2 linked regions of the Macaca mulatta genome follow. The protein of the gene in region 2 binds, or shares a complex with, the protein of the main gene of each other region. Links are inferred from orthologs where the notes say so. Each region holds a gene or a part of one and is shown on either strand. Other genes may lie near its edges.

Region 1 (4,319 bases), on a different chromosome or scaffold from region 2:
AAAGAAAGTGAAATGGAGCAAAGCAAGTGCCTCTTACAAGGCCCAAGAACGACATTCAAGGACCTTTGGACATATTCATGGCTTGCTACCTGCCTCTTACAGGCCAGACACAACACTGCTGGCCTTGGACTGGGCAGCAAGCCTACTGTAGCCAGGGTACCATGCTACCGTGCTGCACGACCCCTGTATCAATGTAAAAAAATGTGAAAAGGGAGGGTGTTAGGAGTCTTTTAAAATACATCCCACCAAATAAATATTTCAGACAGCTTAACATAAAAGTCTACTGATAAGGGGTTTTGAAACAACCGCCCAATTTGTTTTGTGTACCACATGAGATGCAACTAAGAACAGAGGTCTGTAGCCTTCTGTTGGTATTTAGCTTAAAACTGGCTTTGTGCACTGGACCCCAGGGCCAAGTTAAGTAATGTTTTCTTAGGAAGGAGCTGAAGTTGCTGTTGGCTGCCTCACCGCTCATTTAGAGACATCTTGGTGGTGCTTTTTAGCACAACTTTCGGCGCTGACTGTGCAGCCATCTTCAAATCCCGAGAATCTACAAAGGACAATACGTAAAATGAGCAAATCACAATAGTGACCACATCATTTCTATAAGTGGCAAGGCCCAAGTCAACAATAAATAAAAAGGCCTTATCACTGATGACTTAAGAGCACATGAGGGCACATTTCAAGTGCTTAAATTTCTTTTTCTTTTTTTTTTTTTTTTTTGAGAGAGGGTCTTACTCTGTCACTCAGGCTGGAATGCAGTGGCATGATCTTGGCTGCAGTGGCTCACGGCAGCTGTAATCTCCTGGCCTCAAAGGATGTTCCCACCTTGGCCTCCCAGTGCTGGGATCACAGACATGAGGTGTCATGCCCAGCAAAAGTGCAAAAGTGCTTAAATTTCTATGGCAGTTACCTCACATTACTGTAACTTCAAGGTGGCTGGGCGTGGTGGTTCACCACCTGTAATCCTAACACTTTGGGAGGGTGAGGGCACAGGATGGTTTGAAGCCAGGAGTTAGAGATCAGCTTGGGTAACAAAGTGAGACCGAGTCTCTACTAAGAAAATAAATAAATAAATAAATAGCAGTGCATGGTGGCCAGCACCTGTGGTCCTAGCTACTCAGGGGGAGCTGATGTGGGAGAAGTGCTACAGCCCAGGGGTTGGAGGCTGCAAAGAGCTGTGATGACGCCACTGCACTCCAGCCTGAGAGAGACCCCATCTCTTTAAAACAACCAACCAACCCCAAACAAACTCCAAGGCCCAGAAAATACCCAGGAAATTCTCAAAAACGGCAGAACCCAATTTAGCAATCAAAGTATGGAGTCTGGCCTTTTTTTTTTTTTTTTTTTTTTTTTGAGACGGAATCTCACTCTCTCGCCCAAGCTGGAGTGCAGTGGTGCGATCTCGGTTCACTGCAACCTCTGCCTCCTGGTGCAACCGATTCTCCTGCTTCAGCCTCCTGAGTAGCTGGGACTACAGGCATGTGCCACCACGCCAGGCGAATTGTTTTTGTATTTTTAGTAGAGACGGGGTTTCTCCACGTAGGCTAGGGTGGTCTTGAGCTCCTGACCTCACCCGATCCACCCACCTGGGCCTCCCAAAGTGCTGGGATTACAGGCGTGAGCCACCGCGCCCGGTCGAGTTTGGCTTTTTCTCTAGAGCAGTCATTTTCAACCTTGACTACATATGACTTATCCAAGGAGCTTTCAAAGGGCGCGGTGGCTCACGCCTGTAATCTCAGCACCTTGGGAGGCCAAGGTGGGCGGAATGCTTGAGCCCTAGAGCTCAAGACCAGCCTGGGCGACATGGCAAGACCCCGTTTCCATAAAAATATAAATTAATTAAAAAAATAAAAAATACAGGTATCTGGGCCTAGATCAATTAAACCACAATCTCTAGTAACGAGGTTTGGAAATGAACAATTGTGGGGTGGAGGGAAAGCTACCTAGGTGCTTCTAGCGTGCAGTTAAAGTTGAAAACTACTGATCTAGAGTGAAAATATAGGCAGGGCCGGGCGCGGTGGCTCACGCCTGTTTTCCCAGCACTCTGGGAGGCCGAGACGGGCGGATCACCTGAGGTTGGGAGTTCGAGACCAGCCTGACCATCATGGAGAAACCCCGTCTTTACTAAATATACAAAATTAGCTGGGCGTAGTGGCGCATGGCTGTAATCCCAGCTACTCGGGAGTCTGAGGCAGGAGAATCGCTTGAACTCGGGAGGCGGAAGCTGTGGTGAGCTGAGATCGTGCCACTGCACTCCAGCCTGGGCAAAAAGAGCGACACTCCGTCTCAAAAAAAAAAAAAAAAAAAAAAAAAAGCCTAGTTTAAAAATTGGCTTTCAACTCCAGAATCAAGTAGAGACTTTTGTAACAATAAACTAATGATCTCGGGGAGTGCGTAGGAAAGGTTTTCTAAATTCACCTGGGGAATGAGCTCGCAAAGAGCCCTCCACAAAACTTAACCCTAAAGCCGCCATTAATTTCCAACATTCCTCAAAGTCTTGTATTTCTTAATCTCCCTACCATCCTCAAAGCCCTATCAAGACTTCCACTTTTGCTCAACCCAAGTTTCCTTTTAATCCCTATCAAACCCCAACCTCCATCAGTCCCGCCACCAGGTTCCAGTTCAGCCCCTCCCCCGCCCCTTCGCAGGGGCTCCGCCTCCTCCCCCGGGCCTCCACGCTCCAACACCGTAGCTGTGTCCACATGCCACCACCCCCTTTCCGCGTCCGCCAGCCCCTTCCGCTCCCCAAGACCCCGCCACCCCGCTCCTTCTCCCTACAGAAACTCACCGAAGGAAACAGACGCCAGTGCTCCTCCCGGGGCTGCCACCACGGCTCCGGCAGGCGGGCCGGGGACCGGCCGAACCTGAGTTGACGGTGGAGGGGCTCGGGTTAGCTAGATGGGCGGTTGGTCAGATGCGTAAGCGGTAGTATGCGAGCTCAGTTCGTTGTTGCTGGTTGGCTGTCTAGCCGGCCGATCCGTCTGCTCACCCGGCCTGCCCTTTCTTGCCTTTCGTCTGCAGCGGCCGCCAGCTCCGGCTCGGTGTCCAAAACAAAATGGCCGCCACATGCAGTGCTTGTGGGACCGGCTAAAATGGCGTCTACGCCATTACGTCAGGCGTCAGATCCGCTCACGACTAGAGGGCGTGAAAGATTTGAGCTACGCCTGCGCAGGGATCAGAGGCGGAGCCTTAGGGTGAACTTCAGCAAACTTTACCTTAGCGGTATAAGCAGTGCCCCGCCCCCTGGGGGCGTGACAATGGCCCTATCGGGGCGTGCCGGGACTTCAAGTTCCCGTAGTGGTTAAGCTGCAACCTCCTGGGTTACTAGTTAGTAATCAGGGTCTTAGAGGGGATTTGGGTTCCGAATTCCCTTGCCCCTCTGTTCCTTAGGCAAGGTGCATCGTCTAAAAATCTTTACGCGGACTTGCCTCGTCTTCTTCCGGACAACTGGGCCTGGGGAATTTGCACTGGTTTTCCCCTCATGGCCAGTCGCCCAGTCTGAGAGTTGTAAAGTGCCGTAAATGCTCCCGCCAAGGCCCAGGAGGCCAGTATTGGGAGCACATTCCTCTCCCATCCTGCGCTGGCCAACACCACCGCCCGTCCATGTTTTCCTCTTCACTTCCTCCCCTTCCCAACTTGGCCTAAATACTGTTTAATCCTTCTTGCGGGGGGTGCACCTTTGCGTCCTCGATTGCGCTTCCATGTCCTCCCTCCACACCTGCCATCCGTGTTTATTTTGTGGCAGACCTACATAGGGATTTCTCTTTTCTCGCTTTTTGATTTGTTGTTGTTGTTGTTTTGAGACGGGGTCTGGCTCTGTTGTCCAAGCTGGAGTCAGTGGCGCAATCAATCACGGATCACTGCAGCCTTGACCTCCTGGGCTCAGGTGATCCTCTCACCTCAGCCTCCCGAGTCCTAGGATTATAGGCATGAGCTATGTGTCCTGCTCAATTAAGGGATTTTTCTTTCTTTCTTTCTTTCTTTTTTTTCTTTTTGCAGATGGAGTCTCGCTCTATCACCCAGGCTGGAGTGTAGTGGTACCATCTCGGCTCACTGCAACCTCCGCCTCCCAGGTTCAAGCGATTCTCCTGCCTCAGCCTCCTGAGTAGCTGGAATTACAGGCGCGTGCCACCACGCCCTGCTAATTTTTGTATTTTTAGTAGAGATGGGATTTCACCAGGCTGGTCGCTAACTCCTGACCTCGAGTGATCTGCCCACCTCTGTGTCCCAAAGTGCTGGGACTACAGTCGTGAGCCACCATGCCCGGCCTCAATAAGGGATTTTTCTTTTTTTTTTTTTTTCTTTCTTTTTTTTTT
Region 2 (4,321 bases):
AAGTTCTAATAACAGTTTTTTTGTTGTTATTTTTGTTTTGTTTGTTTTTGAAAAAGAGTTTCGCTCCCCTTGTTGCCCAGGCTGGAGTGCGACAGCTGCGATCTCAACTCACCGCCACTTCCGCCTCCCGGGTTCAATCGATTCTCCTGCCTCAGCCTCCCGAGTAGCTGGGATTACAGGCATGTGCCACCACGCCTGGCTAATTTTGTACTTTTAGTTGAGACGGGGTTTCTCCATGTTGGTCAGGCTGGTCTCGAACTCCTGACCTCAGGTGATCCACCCACCTCGGCCTCCCAATGTGCTGGTATTACAGGCGTGAGCCACCTCACCCGGCTTCTAATAACAGTTTTGAAGCAGCTCTTCAAATATAAGAACTATGACAGGTAGCATGTATTATATAAATACACATAATGTGAACCTAAAATTCCATTTTTTCTAGGTATTTCGACCTCCTACATCACTTTTTCTCCAACCATTACCAGTCAGAAGCCAAGCAGAATTTCACCTTGTAGCCCTAATACCACTCATTCTAAGGTGGGAGCAATAACAGTAAAACTGTTGGGAGGCCGAGGCGGGCGGATCACGAGATCAGGAGATGGAGACCATCCTGGCTAACACGGTGAAACTCCGTCTCTACTAAAAATACAAAAACTTAGCCGGGCGTGGTAGCACGTGCCTGTAGTCCCAGCTACTCGGGAGGGTGAGACAGGGAGGCTGAGACAGGAGAATCGCTTGAACGCGGGAGGCAGCGGTTAGTGAGCCGAGATCGCGCCACTGCACGCCAGCCTGGGCGACAGAGCGAGACTCCGTCTCAAGGGGAAAAAAGAAAAGCAAAACTGTCAAAAAACAGTAGCTGAAAGGAGGAAGCTGAGCCATCTACAAAGATAACAGCCCCTAAATAAATGAGCTGGCTTTAAAAGTAAACAAAACAGTGAATTGCTTTACGAGTTTTGGTGGATTACCCTAATATGGATGAAGATGATGGTCTGGCTGGGTAACTTCCCATCTTGCCTTCCCCAAACTTGATGGCTATTTGTCAACTAGCTATCAAACGTGATGGCTATTTGTCAACTAGCTAACAAACTTGATAGCTATTTGTTAACTAGCATGTACGAGGATTTGTAAAATGTTCATTACAGTTAAAAACGAAGGTTTATCAAATAGTCTTCTCTGACAATTAATAAACCAATAAGCACTCTAAGCATATGCTGGGGGGGGGGGGGGTGGGCGTGCGTGGAACCGAAAGAAATATGAGACATAGTCCCTATCTTTCAAGGGCCTCTCAATTCATTACAGTGCAAGAGTAAAAACACATGAAGGAGTCAGAGACCAATTAATTGCTAACCAGAGTGGTACAGACTTTAAGTGCATGAGCTGTCCTGAGAAGTTTAAATATCTAAAGGTTGGAATAATATTACTTTTAATAGCTATCACTTGAGCACTTACTATAAGCCAAGTGCTTTACAGGCATTATTTAGTCTTCACAACAATCCTTTGAGTAGAGTACTTATTATTCCCAATTTACTCAAGGGGAAACAGTCCAAGTGGTTAAGGAACTTACCCAAGGTCACTCGGCTAGTTAAGTGGCTAAGACAGCCGCTTATTTAGGGAATTCTAGCGCTCGCACTGTTAAGACTTCATACAGCAGTGCGGGGGGTGCGGGGGAGGAAGCCACATAGGCTGGCACTATTACAAGCGCGGGATCCGGCAACGCGTTCCTCGTGTTTCGTTCCAAGTAATGAAGTTACAAAGATCTGAATCGTTAGCATGAGCCACGGTAAACTGGCTACTAGAAATGGAGAGGGGTGGGCAAGGACGACAAAAATGGCTAACAAGAGTTAATTTGATCCAGGGTTGAGCGTTAGCATCTAAAAGCGATCCAGAGAAGGAAATGAGAAGCTGTTATTAATATGTTTTCTTAAATCTGAGGTTTGCTTTGCTGCTTAAACGACTTTTTTCAGGGAGAGGGGAGGAGGGAGCGCTCTAATGTGGGGGCGAGAAGACTAGGGGTATGGCAAATTACTGTTTTCGGCGTTACGGGGGAAAAGTTTCACGACTAAAGGAAACGCGTTATCCTAGGTACTCGAGAAGCTTGGAGAGTTGCCAGAATTAGTTGCAGTCCCAGGATAAAATGGGGTTTAGGGAACATTTAATGACGAAAGTTAAATCCAACCCTAAATAGCTCTAAGGTGAACAGACGGAGCAAAGAAATGTCTGTAGTTCTTCAGGGAAAGCGGCAATCCCTGCCACACTTCCCCACGGCGCTACGCGAGGCCGGGACAGTCAAGAGACCGCTCCCCGGGAGGACGAGAGGTGCCAAACCGGGTTCTTCGCGGCGCCCCGGGCTTCGCGGCAGCGGGCGAAGAGGAGGGGAGGGAATCCGGGACGGTTCGCCCTCCTCGGACTTCAGGCAGAGGAGGCGCCAAGCTCCAAACTGCGGAGTCCAACGGGTGCAGAGTGAAGAAATGGGACAGAGAGAGATGGAAAGTCCGAATCGCCCCAGCGCAGCCCCATAAAGATAAAGGAGCCCAGTGAGATCAAGCGAAAAGGGGGACACAAAAAGAGACCAAGAGGGAGCGCAGAGACCTGCAGGGGCGGAACAGGAGTTCTACTAAGAGGCTAAAGAAAGCCGAGCTACCGCAGGCAGTAGCGATTTCTGGGAGGCCAGGGAAGGAAAGAGGTCCGCGGCGGTTAACAGCACCTCTCCCCGAGTTCGAAACTCCTAGCCGACCATCCACGCCCGCCGCCCGGGTGGGGGAGGGGGTACATCTTCCCCCCCCAACCTCCCACCACAGGTGAGAGTGCAGCTGACGCCCTGGCCCGGCCCGGCAGTGCGCCTGCCTCCGGCCCGAACACTCACAATTCGCCTCTCCCTGATTTCTCCCAGTTCTTTATCCACTCTGCAGGAACCACCACAGCCGCGGCCGCCATCTTCCTCTCACTAGTAGCAGAGGCCCGGATGTGTAGCACGCGAGCGAAGGGTCAAAGGGGAGCACCGCCCACGAGGAATGCCGGGAGCTGAGAGTTCGTTTTTCGATTTCCCGCCCCACTTTCCTCCCCACCCAGCGGAAACCCGAGGCTCGGCAGCCAACGACGTGGAGACTCGCGGGCTCCTTTGCGAAGTTACTCCGCGGGCTGCGCCGTCCGAAGTCCTCAGCCTTTCCATTAGAACAGAAAAATGCCATCCACGGGCCAACAAGTAGACCTTATCTTCTTCCATAGTATCTACCCCAACCACTAATACAAACACGCATTTTTCAAGCACCTAATATGTGCTAGACACTGGGGATAGAGAAATAATACAGTCTTTGGGAAAGACATAAATATAAGCAGATAAATTACATTACGCCCTGCTGACTGCTGAGATAAAAGGAAATAATCGGGAAGGTGGTAGCCATTGTCTGTGTGCCAAGCATTACGCTAATGCGAGGGATACGACCTAACCGTGGGAAACATGGATCCACGAGTTCTGACACGCTGCGTTGGCCTGCTATCATTGTTACCTTAGGCTAAACTAGGGACTAAGTACCATGAAAAACAAAATGGGCCGCGCACGGTGGCTCACGCCTGTAATCCCAACACTTTGGGAGGCCGAGGCAGGTGGACCACCTGAGGTCAGGAATTTGAGACCAGCCTGGCCAACATGGTGAAACCCCGCCTCTACTAAAAATACAAAAATTAGCCGGGCGTGGTGGCACGCTCCTGTAATCCCAGCTACTCGGGAGGCTGAGGCAGGAAAATCGCTTAAATTCGGGAGGCGGAGGCTGCAGTGAGCCATGATGGAGCCACTGCACTCCAGCCTGGGCAATAAAGTGAGACTTCATCTTAAAAAAAAAAAAAAAAAAAAAAAAAACACTGTATTATTCCTTAATCTACAGATATTTCAAATTTGATCTTTTTTTCTTTTCTTTTCTTTTCTTTTCTTTTTTGAGACAGGGTCTCACTCTATCGCCCAGGCTGGAGTGCAATGGCACAATCATGGCTCACTGCAGCCTCTACCTGCCTGGGGTCAAGCTACCCTCCCACCTTAGCCTCTTGAGTTGCCGTGACTACAGATGCACACCTCCAGGCTCTGCTAAATTTTTTGTATTTTTCTAGAAACAGTTTTTCACCACATTGTCCAGGCTGGTCTGGAACTCCTGGCCTCAAGTGATCTGCCCACCTCAGCCTCCCAAAATGCTAGCATTACAGGCGTGAGCCACCCTGCTCACCCCAATAATACTTTTTTTTTTTTTTCATGACACAGTCTCAGGAAGTCCTGACAACATGTGCTCCCACCCCACCTCCATAATGCTTGTTATAGCAACAACAAAAAAAAATT

The links.
Region 1: THOC2 (region 2) and CHTOP share a complex: the UniProt entries of both Homo sapiens proteins name them as parts of the transcription/export (TREX) complex. The link is inferred for Macaca mulatta from reciprocal best matches to the Homo sapiens genes THOC2 and CHTOP.

What each region holds. Positions count from the first base shown.
Region 1 is NC_133406.1:113,398,654-113,402,972, forward strand, and holds the start of CHTOP (chromatin target of PRMT1 protein), read right to left. Parts: upstream 3,008-4,319; 5' UTR 2,792-3,007; intron 551-2,791; 5' UTR 534-550; coding exon 469-533; intron 1-468. UniProt on the Homo sapiens protein: Plays an important role in the ligand-dependent activation of estrogen receptor target genes. May play a role in the silencing of fetal globin genes.
Region 2 is NC_133426.1:130,144,202-130,148,522, forward strand, and holds the start of THOC2 (THO complex subunit 2), read right to left. Parts: upstream 2,937-4,321; 5' UTR 2,932-2,936; coding exon 2,861-2,931; intron 1-2,860. UniProt on the Homo sapiens protein: Component of the THO subcomplex of the TREX complex which is thought to couple mRNA transcription, processing and nuclear export, and which specifically associates with spliced mRNA and not with unspliced pre-mRNA.